2 linked regions of the Struthio camelus genome follow. Each later gene encodes a partner of the first gene's protein in a complex. Links are inferred from orthologs where the notes say so. Each region holds a gene or a part of one and is shown in the gene's direction. Other genes may lie near its edges.

Region 1 (8,524 bases):
ACCAAATGAATAGCTAAAGTAAACAGCCTATGCTATTTTATTCGTTGCTCATAGACAGAACAAAAACTGTAATGGGTTATGATGCACCATACTTTTCCAGGAAAATCTCTTCCACAGCATTCTGAAAGCACAAATTCCATATTTAAATCAGATTCATGGCACCATTTTTATCGACTTTGAGAGACAGATTCAGAGAAAAAGGATTATCGAGCTGAGACTAATAGCTGCATTGAACATGCTCAAATTCACACTAGTTAACATTTTAAATAAGAAGTGCATCTGCGGGGGTGGCGGGGGGACTGTATTACTTAAATATGCCTTACTTTACTACGTAGTGCCACCTAGGGGTTAAAAGCTTTGAAAATGTTGAGTAGCAAGGCATAGGAAGCCATATTAATAGCAGAGATAATTTGTGGTGTTAAACCATCTGCATTTTGGAATTTACTACGCAAACAGAGTGGGTAAACTTCAGCGGAGTTTTCCATACTGTTGTATCTGACAAAAGCATTGTAACTTTCCCAGCTCCCTTTGCAGCAGGTCATAGTCTTCCTTCTCTTCTGTAGCCCAGCAGTGCCTCGGGATGTCAGAAACCCTGGTTTTCTCCTCTACAGTCCAGATCTTTCTCATACGCAGCAGTGGAGAGGTTATCTGCCACTGATAGGCTGGGTAGGGGATTGCTGTCCTGCCATTTTTGGGTCTACAAGAACTTAAAAAAGAGCCTTGACAAGTCATTTGCCTTGTGAGTCCAAAATCAGCGAGGAAACGCAGGCCTACTAAGTCTAGTTTGCTAAAGGAAGGTACTGTAAGAAGGAGGAGTGGGATTCTGGAACTGTCCTCTGCCTGCGAATAGATAGGATTTATTCCTCCTGAAACTGCTTTTTTTTTTTTCCACTTACACGTTACAAATTACAATTGGCTCCCTTTGATGTAGCCTACAAATGGGCAAAAGAAACCTAGAATAATCTGGACCATTTTTGTTTTTCCAAACTGAGTGTTGGGACTGAAAACCTGAACTGGATTATTTCTTTCCTGAAAAACTAAAACTCATGTTTTAAGAGAAATGTTTTGTTTCACACAAAACGTTCTTCTCTCTCAAATGGTATTTGATTTTATTCTGGATCTTCCACAGCAGGTGGCGTACCTGCCACACTGAGACCAGAGATCATTTTTACCTGCTCACTCGAGAAGAGCTACTATATACCTCAGGCAGAAGGCAAATTATACATGCATGTATTAAAGGACGTCTCTCCCCTACCTTTACAGGAAGATAACGAAGCTATCAGAACATTTAATTTTTGAAGGAAAAATATCAAGAAAATCTTTGATTGCATGACTCTATGCTTGAACTGCAATGCTAATAAAGGGCACGGGTCTTTTCCCTGCCCTTCAGCACCCTCCACATACATAAACATTAAATTCAATAATCATTAATCAGAAAGGAAGAAAAAACTCCTAGCTTTATTTGTCCTGTGTTCTTTTTTTAAATAAATCATATTGAAAAAAGAGGCCAGGCATTAAAAATAATTTTGCCTGAGACATAGAAATGGAACAAATACTTTGGTTTTGGAAACAAAAGTCAAAAACTTGCCGAAACAATGCTGCAAGCTATAGCAAAGATTGTCGTAATTACCTCTCAGGTAAACTGGCCCCAGAGTAAATTCACAGCGTGATGGATAAAGTAAACTCTTGTGACTCTCCTCTAGATATCATGATGTAGACACCAAGAGAAGCTGTATATCAGTGCTGCTATACTTGAAGCTGAATGAGCTTTAACAGAACTATCAATAAAAGCTATAGCAGGGAGCAGTAAATTCATGCACAGCGTACTCTGGAACATGCAGATTACTGTTTAGACACTGGGGACAAATACTATACGAAAGTCTTGAGAGAGGGAGACGTTCACATCAGGTCTACATAAGACATTTTTGTTCCGTCAGGAAGGGTGGACGTCTGGCAACTTTGTTATACTGATAAAAGTCATAGGGAATATATAGCTATACTAGTAGAAAAGTCCTTTTCACTTTATAGGTTCTATTGCTTACCAAGCAAGAATATATCAGCATAAATAAATATTTACACTAGTAAATATATACACATTAGAAAGACTTGCTATTACAACTTTATTGGCAAATGTTCTCTAGTACAAATATGACCTAATGGCCTGGACCAGCAACTATTTCTTGCAAAAGGATATGCAACAAATTAGAGAACCAGCAAACAAAATTTGAAATATTCAGAATTTCAGTTATGAAATAAAAAATGTTTTGCCCTGCTCTTCAAAACTCCTGAAATAATGTTTCCAAAATCTTTCATGGTAAAGGACTCAGATGGTTAAAGCCATGATGGTTCAAGGCATTCAGTGCTGGCCTGCCTAAAGTGCGTCTGTTTTTTTCCAACTGTACCCCTTAGTTAAACAAAATGTTACTTTCCTTATAGACCTCACCTCTCTGTTCTGCCCCACAGTATAGTATAGTAGCTGGATGCCTATGACAAACAGACTGGTAAAAAGAAATCCTTCTTCCACTAAACTAGTTTTGCCATCGACTTCTCCAAGGACAAACTTCATCCTCAAACCTTAATCTAATGTGCAAGAGACATACAACAGGTGCAGTATGTTTTAGACAGTCTGGTGTCTCTTGACAAATGCTGCCAGCTGGTAACAGGGTCACAACCATGTAAGGTAGAATATATTAAGCAGAATCAGGTATATCCACACTGACTGTCCCAAACAGAAATGCAAGTAGATGTTTAACAGGAATAAAATTGGGGAAGGGGGGGGAGAGGTCTTGGAGAGCTACATCTGGAGAAATAATATGGAAAAATACAGGAAATTATACCCATATTAACCAATGAGAAAAGTATTTGAAGCAGTGTTTTTCAGGAACCCCACTGCGACACAGGGAAAGCACACAACATAATGATGCAAAGTGACATTCACAGAGGGGCAATTAAGGCTAGCTGTCCCCGTGTCTCAGGAATTTGACTCCTAGGTACAGAAACACAGTGAGCCTTTTGGTGCCTGAGACAGCACCCCCCCTCCGTTTTCCTAACCCCATCCCAGCTCCCACGAACGTATATAGTGGGGGTTCAGAAGTGGAAGCGGTTCCCCTAGGCCTATCCACAGGACAGCCCTACCTGAGAGGCAGGACAACACATGACTGCTGAGCTTACAAAGATGTACCTTAGCAGAGATGAATGCTTACATACTACACAGAGTATTCACAACTCATTAATAAATATTTAAAAATCTGTATAACTATTTTGGATGCTGCAAACGTCATTTATCCCATGTCTCGTACTTTAATTACAAAGATAATGGTAACAATAAAAAATGCTAATTGGAGTCTTTTAAATCCGAGGGGGGGTTACTTTGCAGCACAGCACACTGAATTTCAAGGACACTTCAGATTCATTGTGTGAAACAAGGCTTCCCTGGGGTGTAGAGGGAGGGAAGACTCCCGGCTGGATTAAACTGGTACTCAAACATCAGTTTACAAAGGAATTTAGGATGCAGACACAATGGCACCTTATCTACCTTAATTACTATGGTGATGAGCACTTTAACAACACTTAAGATAGGCTGATAATCCATATAAGACCATATAAAGTAGTCAATATTTTGAAGTGATTAATTCGAAGACAAACTGAAAGTCAAGATAGATTATTTCAGGAAAATCTGGTTATTTGATGCACTTTTAGGAAAAGAATGAAAATGCAGCATGAGTTACAAGTAAATAATGGGAATTATCAAAGTGGAGTTTCATGCTGGGATGCTGAGGGGAAAATCCCTTTAGTGTGCTCCCCATCATCTACATGGAAACCAGCCAGGGTTGGGGTTTGCCTTCTACCTCCAAGGTAGTTTGCTGTTGTTGAACAGGATCTACCGCTTCTCAAAACAGATGTATTTGAGCTCAGACCCAAACCCTCAGTTTTAGAGGGCCGTGTAGTATGTTTCCGTCCCAGCATCTCAAAAATTTTACTCTGAAGGACGGCGCTCTGCTGAGGAAGAGGCCGGGAAGGGAATTAACAGGTACTTTTTTAAAAATTACTTTGCTTTCCTAATAAGGAACATCTTTTCTTCATACCAGATCAGTGACATTTGAAAAGTCCAAGCCTTACACTGTTATCGGGATTGGCTGCTCAGGAAACGATCCTAACATGTCTAGACCAAGGGCGGGGGGCGGGGGGGAGGTTTAAGACGCAGCAGCCAATACACCCACGGACGGCTGCGGAAAAAGCAGCTGCAAAACCGAAGCAGCCTGTTGAAACGCTGTCCCTCTAACGCAAGGAGACGTCCCCCGTTTGGGCCTTGCGGGGACCGTTAGACGGCGCGTTAGCGAGGCCGAGCCGGGTCCCAACGGCCGCCAGGGCCCCCCTCCGCCCCGCTGGGGTAAGAAACAGGCCGGGCTGTTTTCCAGGCCCGCGTCCGTCCCTGGAGCGCCCCCGTCACCCCCCAACGGCCGCCAGCCGTAACATGGCGCCCCGACGCAGCCCGGCAGCGCCGGGGGGGGGGGGGGGGAGTGTGTTGGGGGGGGGTGGCAGTGAGTGCCGCGACGTGATGCGCATGCGCCACCCCGCCCCGCGGCCTCCCCTCGCGGCGTGGGGGCGGGGCGCTGCACGGCGTCCTGACGTCAGAGGCGCGAACCCCAGCAACGGGCGGACGTCGCGAGGCCGCCGGGAACCCGGAAGCGGCGGGCGAATAGGGAGCGAGTGGCGCAGTTAGCGGGGCGGAGGCGCGGCGCGGGGCGCTGAGAGTCCGCGGCGGAAAAGTAGTCCCGGGGGAGGAGGGGGGGGTGGTCCGCGAGCGCGGCTAGTGCTGCTGGGACGGGGTGGGGGAGCCTCGGCCCCGCACCAGCGCTCTCGGACGGAGCTCGGAGGCGGCGGAGATGGCCGCGGACAAGGCCGCGGGTGAGTGCGGGGCGAGCCGCCGTCGGGCCGCTCCGCGCGCGGGGCACCTGGGCCGCGCGGGGCGGAAGGAGACGCGGCCAAGGCCGCGGCGTCTCGTCCCCGTGTCCTTCCGCCGAGGGAAGTAGCGCGCGGGCGGCGGCGGCGGCGGCGGGGCGGCCGGCTGGCGGGCTTGCTCCGCCGGCGGGGCTGCCTGCCGGGGTCGCGGCGGCGCCCCGAGGCCTCGGCGGTTACTAACCCGAGGGCGGCGGGGGGACGGGGCTTCCCCCGGGGCTGAGTAACCGCAACAGAAGTTGCGGCTGGCTTAGTCTGTTCAACGGGGGCCTTCCGACGGCGTTGGGGGGCGATTTCGAAGAAGGCGACCACAATAAACCAGACTTACAATTACTGTATGACTTGCTGGCGCTGATAGCTACTGCTCTTCCTCTCCCGTAAGACTGCGCTTGATGCAGGAAGCCCTCCTGGCTGCGAGGTTCCTTCCCTCAGGTGGTGGCTGGGTGGGGATGAAGTGGGCAATGTGAGGGAAAGCCAAAAGGATCTGCTTGTGTCCTCGAGTCCTTCAGCTGGGCTTCTGCCGTGGGAGCGTTTCTTGGAATTGCCTCTGAAAATTGTCTTTCAATATGCTAAGTGTCACACTTGCTCTCAGTATCTGAAGACCACCGTGGGAAAGATTAGTGTACCTTGCTAAGTGATGCGTATTAAACCGTCCTGCATTTATTTAAAAGAAGCTCACTGTGATTATAAACTACCAGGAAAGTTTGGCGTTAGGAGATTATATATTTCCCCTTTCTTGGAAATGGTGAAGTCAGGAACTTGTCTGTTGTACTAGGTTAGAAGAAAAATACTTGTCCAAATGAAGCAAACACATTGGCTAGATAGTCTGCATATCTGCATGTATGTGCCTATAGCAGAGTGAGTTATGAATAACTTCTGAGTGAAAAATGTTTCCTTCTTAGTGTGCAGTGTTAAATCTAATATGTTGAGATTAGTAGCACAATGCTTCATAGAAAAATGTACTTTCTGAGCCACAAACTGTTGTTGTCTCCTTAGAAGGGCTGAATGCTTTGGCTGCTCTTCATAGCCATCAAAATGTTGTTGGAGTGAGACACCTGTGATAGATTCCTCTCTTTCCCAGGAGGAGATTATCCCCCTGCCTCTAGAGTTTGGAAATATAAAATAATTCGAGAGATGCTCTGGCATTCAACAGCACAGTTTATACAAGGTGTAATTTAAAGGGCCTGGAAACGAGAGGGCTCAAGAGCAGCAATCCTTGGAGATAACAGGTAGGAGAAGGATAACGATTGCAGTCACTGTCCTTTGGGTCTGTGTATGTGGGAGATGTGACTTCTCATTGCTTATATGATGTTGTGTCAGCAGGCCAAAGAGGAGGACAATCTCCCTTTGCAGGTGGCAATCTCATGCTCTTCCTTGTTCTCCTCTAGTAGAACGAGTTCCCCACAAAGCAGATTCTGCTGTCCACCTGGTGCAACTTCTCCAGGAGGAGCAACTACCTGCTGATGCAAAAAGAAATGTCTCCCTGACACAGTGTTTCTGCTGCTCAGCCCCATGTGATACAGGTTGCTAACCAAGAAGATAGTTTCCTGACTTGCTTTCTTTTACATCCAACCCAGTGCAGCAGCTTTCTCCAGATCAAAATGTGAGCAGATAATTTTTACATCCTTTCCCTTTTCCTGGATGTCATTTCTGCTCCTCGCCACTAGTCTGAGAACTATGAGTTTTAGAGATGCTTTGTACTTGAGAAGGTTAGACAACGTGAAAAGTGTAAAAACAAACAAAACAGCTCCACGTGTAGATAAAGTTTGCATAGATAAATTGTGTCCTGTCGTTTGTAAAACAGAGAATCTACACTGTTTCAAATAGTTCGGCTGACATTTGTAGCTGCTCTACAAATAGGAGCATGTTGATAATGACTAGCATGCCTTGTACCTCACGGACCACGTGCTTCTACAAGAACGCCAAAGATCACTAGATCTAAGTAGCATGCTGTATGTTTTGCCAGTGAACCATGTACTTTCGTTTTCAAACGCCTCCGGAAGTATTGACATAATTATTTGCAAGCAGTTGATAGACGTTTGCAGTCAGGATAATAAGAGTACTTTTTCTCCTAAATTTATAAGTGGGATTGGAGGGTTCTTTCTGGTATCTGGGGCAGCCTTACTTTAGATGTCTTGTTTGTGAGGTATCTCAATAATTAAGATCAACCAAAGCAATAGATCCTGGTTTAAACAAGTTTGGGAGGATTACAGTAGATTAGAGGAAGTCGATCAGTTTGGAGCCATAAAACTAACCTTATGGGAGAAAGGGAAGGCCTGTTTTTGCTTAAAATAGTCTCCAATTTCATACTAGGAGACTTAAGAGGTATAGTGAAATCTATTTGTAGACCTGTTGTGTTCTTTCCTAGGAAATAGGTGTAAAGCAGATATTCAGGAGTGCTTTTCTTAGACAACTAGCTTGCAGTCTCTTTGACCTAACTTTCTCTTAATTGAAGAAAAGGCGCTTTGCTTCGGGAATCAGACTTTCATAAGCCCAGTTTCTTTGAGATGCCTGTTTTGTGAACTTGCATACCATAATTACTTATGTGGGTTTTCATGGCACTATAACAGGTTTGTGAAAGTGCTTATAGTGATGTGACAAGTAGCTGTCAATGACATCTTCAGCATTATTCAACTCGCTGTGTGAACCCTGACTCCATGGAACATTGCGTAAACATGTTTTTATTGCATGTAGTGGTTTCTGAAAACTAGAACCTCCCTTTTCATACGGGTGCATTCAGTACCTAGTTCTGAGACAGTACGGAACTTTTGTCTTGATTAAAACTGTGGGGGACTTCTTGACCTGACTGACAGTTATCAACGCTCAGATGTTTCAGATTCTCAACTCTTTGCTTTACTGTTATTTTTACTAGCGTAATCTGAAAGGCGTACTGAGGAAGTAAAGCAGACAATACAATTTTCAGCATGAAAGTTAGAGAGCAAATACATTTACTTAATTAACTGCCATGCTGGAGTTCCTCAGAGTGCTAGCTTTCTGTTTGGCTGTACAACCACAAGATTTAGAGCAGGAATTGGATCTGTTGTATTCTAAGCTTGAAGAAGAGGTACCTTTTGTTCCCTTTTTCTTTAATTATAGAAAGCCTTGGCTTGTCGAAGGCTCCCCTTCTGCCTTTCCTTCTTAAGGAAAAGGCGATGCGAGTGGGGTTGATCAGTGTCTTGGTCAGATTTTGTAGCAGGTGCATGTAGTTCTTCAGCCTGCTAAGGATTCCCTCTACGAGTGCTGAGTAACCCTGAATTCTGTTGAAATTGTGGTGAGTTAAGATTTCTCTGCTGGTATTAGACTACTGAGGTTTTAAACCTCAACACTGCCAGCATCTTGATGCAGGTTGAAGGTCACAACTGAACAGTTACAGTTCTTGTGCAAATGTGTCGTTAGGACAACGAAAGGGATCTCGCTATCTTTCTAGCAGGAAATACAAACTATAAATAAATAAGTATGCTTTATTCCTAGTACGGATATTAACTGATGAATCTTCTGAGGTTGGCTACCCCTAGCTGTTGTCTATCTTTATGTATTCATAGCTTTTCATGGCTTGGTAGTTGAT
Region 2 (8,825 bases), on another chromosome or scaffold:
TGTTGGATAATGTTGTCTTTTCTGACTCAGAATACACCAAATACATTAGCAGAAGCATTCATGTAACCATGGCTGCTTTGGCAAACCAAACATTCCATCCAACCCCTTGGCATTAAACTCATGCTGGCATGCCAGACAGCCCAGAATCAACCAATGAAGAGTTTGGCTGGCTGGAGCCATTTCAAAATATTACACAGAACTGATGCTGTTTAAAAGAGTTTCTTTTAGGTTATTTCTAACTAGTTAATACAAAATTTGATTCAAACCAAATTCTCACCTATAAAGTAATAATAATTATTTTGCTAGTCACACTCTCAATGTAAAAGGGAAAACATAAACTAGTCAGTAAAGAACTGTAATACAAAATACAATTTTTATTCTCAAGTACTTCTTCATTTCTCCAGCAACTGTTCATGAAGAGATCTGTTTTCACTGAACTTAACCATTCCAGTTATCAGAAAAAGATAGTCTGTCTAAGCCAGGTTTTAAAATGCTTGACGTAAGCTGAAAGGGAAACCTTTAGAAAGCTTTAGAAAAAGGAACTGCCATATTTTTGAGGTCTGTTTCAAAATTCACATTATTGTTTATATCCCACATCTGTTGTCCCCCTATATTTCCTCTTGCCAAGACAGTCCCAAGCTTCGACTGCACCGGTGTCCACTTCTCCTTGTACTTACCCAGGATGTATGTCTTGTTCTGACACCAAACAAACAGTCAGGCTGCTGGCAGGTGCAGAAGCTGACCAACAGGATATGTCTGTAATGATGGACTGACTGCCTAGCAGTTGCTTGGTCTGCCTTTTTCCCTCTTGCTTGAGTCTTCTATTTTAGAACTTACTTCACTGGAATCCACCCTTATAGTGCACAGGCAGTGGAAAACAACCTTGCCCGAGGGGAAAAAAAAAAAAAAAAAGGCTATAACTATTTGTGAAAATATAGAACTTACAGAAACGAAAACTTAAGGACCACCTACCTGGTCACTCCAAAAGTTGCATTTTAGCCACGCTATATGGACAGACACAGGACTATATTTCGTGTCTGGTGGGTGTCCTATCGTGCCAAGCACCACACGGATCTGAAGGCAACCAGAGTACCTGCAAGAGCTCACAATCACATTTTAAATAGATACATGACATTGCCTTAAAATTATTTCCTTGAAGTTTCTGTCATATATTTTCAACCTACTCTGCCCCTGAACTCAGGCTGCCCATTCTTTGCTCACCTCCTGCTGGTTGCAGCCTAGCAGAGTTCCTCTGTGTCTATTCAGAGCCCAGAGTTCAACTCCTCACCTTTCACTCCCGCTGCGGAAACTTTATGAGGGCTTAGGCAAAGGCGACAGGGGTGTGTTTCCAATCGAGAGCTGGCTGTCCCCTCCTAGAGAAGTCATGTGAAGCCAATGCCATGTCACTGCTAGTACAGGCAGTGTTCCCTTTGCATATGCACACACTGTCACTCATTTAAGCATTTGGAATGTATCTCTGCAGGTGAGAGTTTTCCACTGAGAGTTAATGCTTATATCTGGGAATAAAAAAGCCAGCTACACCTTAAAGATGAGTATCTTTTATAATGCACTAATTCATGTTTTGAGCACAAAACAAAGCGTCAGTGCAATTGAGTAAGTCAAAAGTGTATTTGTTAAAAACAGTACGGGTTATTGGGGAATCTGGTAAAAAAAAAAAGCAGTTCAGTTTTCAATATAAGTAAGTGTTGCACTAACTCTGTTGTTACAGTGTGTTTCAAACCAGTTACACCAGTTACAGTATTGGAACTACCTATAAGCAGAAGATGCAAATAGCTTAGAATGTGCTCAGTTCTGTTTAAATAAGATGTTTAAAGACCATGAAGTCTGTAATTATGGTATTACAGGTAGCAAGATGTAATTTGCAGTAGCATTTGTCTTCATTATGCAGATGTGGCCCCAATACACGTTATTTACCTAACATACAGTGCCCTATTATGAACCAAACTCTGAGAAGGGAGGGTGTTACTACTCACCATAACTTTCCAGATTTATTTTCCCACACAACAAAAAATAAGGAGTATTTCCTCTCCCTCCTAGTTAAACTTGTCTGGTGCATTCATAGGCGAAGCAATATACAGTGCTATTTTGTGAGCAACATCTCAGCTAGCCACGGTTAGAGCTGCGGAGAGATCTGCAAGCATGAGTAATGACAGTGTCTTGCTGTCTGTGCCTGGTTTCTTCTACCTCGCACTATACCTATGCTGTTACCAATTAACTTTTTCTGGAAGGAGAATATTCCCAGAACTCCCCTCCCAACATCACACTGTTTGTCCTCTTAGCGCTAAAACCATTTGCTGTTGCTTCATTTCAGATTTAAGACTGTGTTATTGTTTGCATTGACGCTTTCTCTTGACTAATTCTAACTATTTCTTAGTGACAAAAGAGTTTTTAATTCTTAGCAGTTGCTCCTAATTGTTATTTAGCATACAGCAGACTCAACAAGAAGGAAAGTGATTCCTTCAAACTATTTACACATACACAGAAGAGGAAGTGGAAAATGGCATTTCACGAGAGGGGTGCCATGTGAACGTTGTCCTGAGCTGATACTTATTTGGAATGGCTCTTCACTAGGAGAACTGTTCACCCAATACGCAAAAGTAGGTGAAAAGCCAGGGAGTTTTGCAGACCCCAGAGTTTCTTTTAAACCTGTTCAAATCAGACACAGGTTACAGCTGAAAGCTCTACACCCAATAGGAACAGACAACCAGTATTTTAGTCATATGAGGACAAAAATGTCATTTACTTTTTGGACTGCAAGTCTGGGTCTAGTCCAGGTTGGAGGTTATCTAAAAGCTGCTTCTATTTGTTGGTTAGCCTGGGCCCTGCACTGGTATCTTCATCACAAAACCCTCCAGTGTTACTGCCACCTTTGCCGAGGCTCAGCTTTGAGGAGTGCAAGAAGACTGCTTTCCTCTCAGTGGAAAGGATTTTTGATCAGACACTTCATAAAATAACTTCTCTTTGTTCACTCTCTACAGTTTTTGTAGTAGTCACTGTCTGTTTTGCTGTTTGTAAAAAATATTAGAAGGAGAAACACTAGGAATTAGCTTAAAGGATAGTATAAAACCATGCTAATAATTCCACTAATGACAAAGATGAATCCTGGAGTTCGTGAACCTCAGCTCATCATTAATTCCCTGTATACTAAGCTATAGTTCTAACCATCTGTGAGGGCATGTGTGTGCCACCTAATACTTGTTGAAACACCTTTGGAACAATAGAAGTTTTAGGAAAATGGAAATGATGGTTACAGCTAAAACATGTTCAGCAATACTTTTATCTTTTAACTCTGAAGTCATGTATTTTAAGATTTCCATATATAAGCTGTCTACTCTTTGTGCTGCTGAAAAGGGCATGATCCGGAATATACAGCTCATATTGACTAGTACAAAAATGTTGAGCTAAAGCCTGTCAATCCTCCTTGCAGCGTACTACATCTACACATGGACTGGTTTTGTTAGTGTCGTCTTAACAGAGCTGTATAGAGGGTGGGAAGCCTGTTCAGGAACCTGTTCTGGAGTGATGAATCTGAAAGCAAGTCTGGTAACTTCCAAATATAAGAACTATGGGACTGACATATTTTAAGAGCAGTCTGCCTTTTCCAGCTATTTTTCCTTTGTATGCAGCTGAAATTAGCCATGATGAAAAACACAAATTCTGTTCTCCTTGAGCAAAAGGTCTGTTTCAAACTACCGCCAGCACTCAAACATCCTAGCTTTTTTTTCTAACCTAGTTGCAAACTGGCAAACATATTAAGCATAATTTATCCCAACTGATTTTTTTCCTGCAACATATTTTCGATTAGGGTAACAAAGCATGCACATTTCTGTGTCCTGAGAAGATTCTTCCTCCCTTTTTGCCTGGATTCAACATAAATTCAAGAGCTGGGCTTATGAGCAAGAAAAATAAAGTACATACCTTACTCTGAACTCTTTAAGTGAAAAAAAAAACAAACAAACAAAAACCAAGAATCTAATTCCGTATTTATGGCGTGCTGCAATCTATCCCGATGTATTTACCTGATAACAACTTAGGTTTCTTTGCCCAAATTCAAGTGACCATAGGAAGAAAGGTGATTGCTTTCTGCTAGTCTAGCATGTTGCATAATATATGCATTATATGACCTAGAGACTGCAGGTCTAAGGTGAGATGGCAAAACAGTAACTATCATCTACGAAGATAAGCTTTGAATTAAAATGAAGTTCAGTAAATACTGCTTGATGTCCGTAGATGCTGACACCATCAAGGACACTTGCTAGAAAGCAGCAGTATTCAAATAAACTTATCCTAAGAGGTCTTACATTTCTGCTGAGGTATGAATACTCAGCCTGGGACACCGAAACATGTCGGACACGAAAGACAGTGACTCCCTCGCCCCGCCAGATAATTGTATCAGAATAGTAAGGAGGTAGCCGAGGTTCAAGAGGACAGACTCCAAGGGAACCCAAATGACAGGCAGGAAACAATTCTGCAGCAGTAGCAGAGCTGCAGAATTCTAGGTTGCAAACCTGCCCAAGAAGGCTGGCAGCCCGGACGAAGCGAGGTACTACCTCCGCTTAATTGTAACTACACAGGCTTCCAAATACATTGCCTGCCTGCCGGCAGCATCGGCCAGCAAAGCAGGAGAGCTGGCAGCGCCGTTACGCCAGACGCGTTACATGAGGCTGCTTTACCTGACGGTAAAGCTCCTGTTGCTAATGTAACCTAAATGGCATTTAAGGGGGCGGCCCGTCCCCTCGGCGAGGGCAGCTGTTTCTCTCGGGGCTCTGCCACCCGGCAGGGCCCGCGGGCCGCGGCCGCCCCGACCGGGGCCGGCGCCGAGCTAACGAGGCGGCGCGGCCCGAAGGGGTCGGTCCCTCAGGGAGAGATCACCTAACGCCTCCCCCACCCTCACCCCCCGGGCGGGCTTTGGACTCGCCCGACGCGTCCGGCGCGGGGAGCTCGGGCGAGCCCATTAGCTGCCCCGGCAGGGGGAGGGAAGACAGGCGACTTGTCACAAGGGCAACGGCTCCGCGCAGGCGCAACCCGGGCGGAGCCCCGCGTGGCGCTCCGGGCTCCCCCCGCCCCCCTCCCTTCCTCTCCGCGGGAGCGCGCGCCACACGCGCGCCCGGCCACACACCCCGCCGCGCGCCCTAGCCCGTTTCCCATATCTCTCGCGAGAGCGGGCGGTGGCCGGGGGCAGCCCGGAAGTTCCGCCCCTCCTGGTGGCCGCATCGCGCCTGCGCGGAGGCGAGTGGCCCGGCCCAAGCTTCCGGGCAGGTAGCGGGGCGGGGGGAGGGGGCGGGGAGGCGATGGGGAGCGCCGGAGCAGACGAGTCGCGGGGGTGAGCGCGGGCTAGAGCGGCCGGGCGGCCCACAGGAAGAGGAGCGGCGAGGCCCAGCTCCCCGGAGCCGCGAGCGGCGGGGCCTGGCGGCGCCAGCAGGTGCGGGCGGGGCGGCCCGGGCGCTGCGGGAGGCCCCCAGCGCCGGCAGAGCTCGGGGCGCCGGGATCTCCCCTCCCCTCCCCTCCCCTCCCCTCCCCTCCCTGTGCCCCCCCGGTGGCGGCGGGCCCGGCAGCGGCCTGAGAGGCCTGGACGGCCGGGCGGGCCCGGGGCGGCAGCGCGGCCTTCGCGGCTGAGCCCGTCCGCTGCCGGGAAGCGGCTCGGCCCGGCGGCGGCTGACGGCCCCCCGGCCGTGAGGCCCGAGCCATTAGCAGCCGCTCGCAGAAAGGCTCTGGCAGTTGCCTCACGTCCCTCTCCCCGCTGTAGGTACCCTCAGCTAACTTCGTGCGAGCATACCGGCAGTTTGCTGCAGTACCTGAGCCTTAGCTGCGTATTTCTGTAATAATTTTGCCCGTGTGGTTTCAGAAAGTGATAGACAAGCAGTCATGCCAAGTGTGATTTATCCTAGGCGTTGTACTGCTGAAACGGCATTAGTATAAACTGGAATACCTTTCTTTTTCAGTGTTTCCTGAATTACATCAGAGAAGCATCTGCCTTTATAAGTGTCCTTTGTAAAGCAATCTATTACTTGTCTTCAAAACTATCCCAATAGCACCTTGGTGGAAGCTAAGCAAAATTAAGTGTGAGGATTCCCTGTTTGTGCATCTTATGCCTAGAGTTTCAGAGTTTATGCCAGGAGAAGATGAAAGGGAGAGGCACTATTGACTTGCATAACTGGACTCTATTAATTGTATGTCTACTCTTGTAACACAAACGGATGGTTTAGTTTTTCTTCTCTTTCAGCATGTTTAAAGGAAGTGATAAAAGCAAGGAAACAGTTAGTGTAAAACTTTAGCTTTGCTATTTGAGGTTAAGAATAGAAACGTGACTTACTCTGCTAGTGCATTCATTCAGATACCTAGATCTTTCTTCGTGTAAAGTACTGTATGTTTCTCTCTTTAATGCAGCAAACTGATTAGATCACACAGCTTGCAATTCTACGCTGTCAACTGAATTCAACATCAGCTGTTTTTACTACAATCCCTGCAAGATGCCAGCAGCCCTTGCAGAGAACAGCCAAGTTATCTGTGAAGTATGGGCAAACAATCTGGAAGAAGAGATGAGGAAAATTCGAGAGATTGTTCTAAGTTACAGTTACATTGCAATGGTAAGCATGTTATACTTGACCTTATTGCCACAGTCAGGGGATTTTTTAGGGGCAGGAGAATAAATTGATTCTTGAACCAGAAATGGTGTTTTCCTGTGACCAAACTGAGCTAAAAGTTAAGTAGTGAAAACTTAGAAAGCTGTTCAGTTATAAGGACTTCATGGATTTTGGTAAACATAGTATTCCGTACAGATTGAATGAGAGGTGGGGAAGTGAAAACCACTTTCAACATCTGAAATCATTTAATATTTAACTATACCCATTGCATAAACTAATGCAGTCTCAAATTAAAGAGATCAGATGTACAATTGGGTTTAAATCTTCAGATTTCACTGGTATACTTGTCCTCTGAATGCCTGTTTCCTTTTGGCTATGGGAAATGCCATGATACTGTAGGACAAAAGGCCTGCAAGTTGCAACTTGGTGGCTGGTAGGAATGCCTCCTTTTTTTTACTGCGGTCAGATGCTGATTCTTATGGAATAGATTTTTCTGGCTGCAGGTGTGGCAATGTGTTCGAAGAGTTTTATTTCAGAAGACCAAGGATCTTAATGAGAACTCTAGTTTCAAGGTGAAGGGAGAGATGGGAGGAATGGTTTCTTTCCTGCTCTTAAAAATAGGTATCTGCTCAGCAGGAGCCAGTTAATTACATAACTGTTTCTAGTTATTGTACTATGTCAACTTTGCTTAGGGAGTCTAAACTTCAAGACATTCGAAGTCCTTAATAGAAGTGTGGCATAAAAATACATATCCCTGCAGAGTATATGTTATTCAAAAATGAAACACTTAAAATCCTGTAAATGTGATTCAGTTTTGTTGTCATCAGTTGGTGGGAAACAAGCTTTCTTGCTTCTTTGCTCTGTTTGATGTTAATGAAAGCATGTTTAGATAGATCTATGCTAATGGCTGGACTGATATCATATATGAATAACTGGGCAGTAAGACTGGACACAAAAAGATTAGGCTAGGAGGAAATGTTGTCAGATGCATAATACTGGATTCTTTATGAAAGTTTTTGGATATGTTCTCTATCAAGCTGGTCAGAAGTTATGTGAATAAATTTGAGTGTAAAACTAGTCTAGAAGTTAGAGGTTTAGTCAAGATAGCACGCAATCACTAGCCAAGTAAAATGTTTTTTATGTAACACACAGTTTCTCTTTTGTTGAAGTCTGTTTTGATTGGCAGTAGCTTTTGTTAATTTAGGTGTTGGTTGTTTTTCAAAAACAGTGAAGATTATCACTAGCTGGACTATCACATTAAGACTGTGAGTGCTAAATTTAACTTGTATTTAGAACGTAAAAGAACACTGAATAAATATAAAATGCCCATTTTAGTGTATTTAGGGAAAATGAGAGGATTAGTCTTTCAGGAGAGAGATGTTTAGATTATGCAGTAGTGCATATTGGGTGATTTTATAACTTTTTTTTGCTCTGGAAGGAAACAACACTGAAAGAGGATACCTGGAATGAATGAATGAATATAATGATTAATGAATTGTTTAGTTTTTTTTTTTCCCAGTAGCTTAAAATACTTTTTTTCCTTTCTGCCTTCTATTATGTAAGTAATTTCATAGAAAAATGTACAGATTCAGCGCTGGGACCTAAAAGTGTGGAACTGAACGTAAGACTGCTAATAAAGGAAGTGATGTAATTTTTTCCCCCCCCCCTCCTTTACTAGGACACAGAATTTCCTGGAGTTGTTGTAAGGCCAATTGGTGAATTCCGCAGTTCCATAGACTATCAATACCAGCTCCTTCGTTGTAATGTTGACCTTCTGAAAATTATCCAGCTGGGCCTAACTTTCACAAATGAGAAGGGAGAATATCCTTCCGGAATCAACACCTGGCAGTTTAACTTCAAATTCAACCTTACGTGAGTCTTCTGAGCTAGGGAACGATCACCTATTCTCTGCTGATGCACTGATGTTTTCCTTTGGCAAATGCAGGTGTCACTGGGTTCATCACTGGTGAATGATTCTGACCAATACAAATTCAGAGTCAAATACAGAAAGATTATGTGGGAATCTGTTTTGTCATGACAGGAGTTTGCAGTATTTCTGGAAGTCAAAGCTCTGCTAAAATGTGATCCTTAATACTCTTTTCCTCGCTAAATGGCTTATACCCAGTATTTGTATGTGCCGTAAACGTGTGTTCTGGAACAATGCTATAGTGTGGTTTTTTTTTTTTTTTTTATAAACTGTATCTTTTAAAAATTCATCTC

The links.
Region 2: CNOT10 (region 1) and CNOT8 share a complex: the UniProt entries of both Homo sapiens proteins name them as parts of the CCR4-NOT complex. The link is inferred for Struthio camelus from reciprocal best matches to the Homo sapiens genes CNOT10 and CNOT8.

Annotation. Positions count from the first base shown.
Region 1 is NC_090943.1:47,701,930-47,710,453, forward strand, and holds the start of CNOT10 (CCR4-NOT transcription complex subunit 10), read left to right. Parts: upstream 1-4,596; 5' UTR 4,597-4,886; coding exon 4,887-4,908; intron 4,909-5,062; exon of another isoform or gene 5,063-5,336; intron 5,337-6,040; exon of another isoform or gene 6,041-6,188; intron 6,189-6,347; exon of another isoform or gene 6,348-6,562; intron 6,563-8,524. UniProt on the Homo sapiens protein: Component of the CCR4-NOT complex which is one of the major cellular mRNA deadenylases and is linked to various cellular processes including bulk mRNA degradation, miRNA-mediated repression, translational repression during translational initiation and general transcription regulation.
Region 2 is NC_090954.1:11,999,730-12,008,554, reverse strand, and holds the start of CNOT8 (CCR4-NOT transcription complex subunit 8), read left to right. Parts: upstream 1-5,103; 5' UTR 5,104-5,280; intron 5,281-5,294; exon of another isoform or gene 5,295-5,443; intron 5,444-5,577; exon of another isoform or gene 5,578-5,763; intron 5,764-6,408; 5' UTR 6,409-6,491; coding exon 6,492-6,608; intron 6,609-8,283; coding exon 8,284-8,477; intron 8,478-8,825. UniProt on the Homo sapiens protein: Has 3'-5' poly(A) exoribonuclease activity for synthetic poly(A) RNA substrate. Its function seems to be partially redundant with that of CNOT7.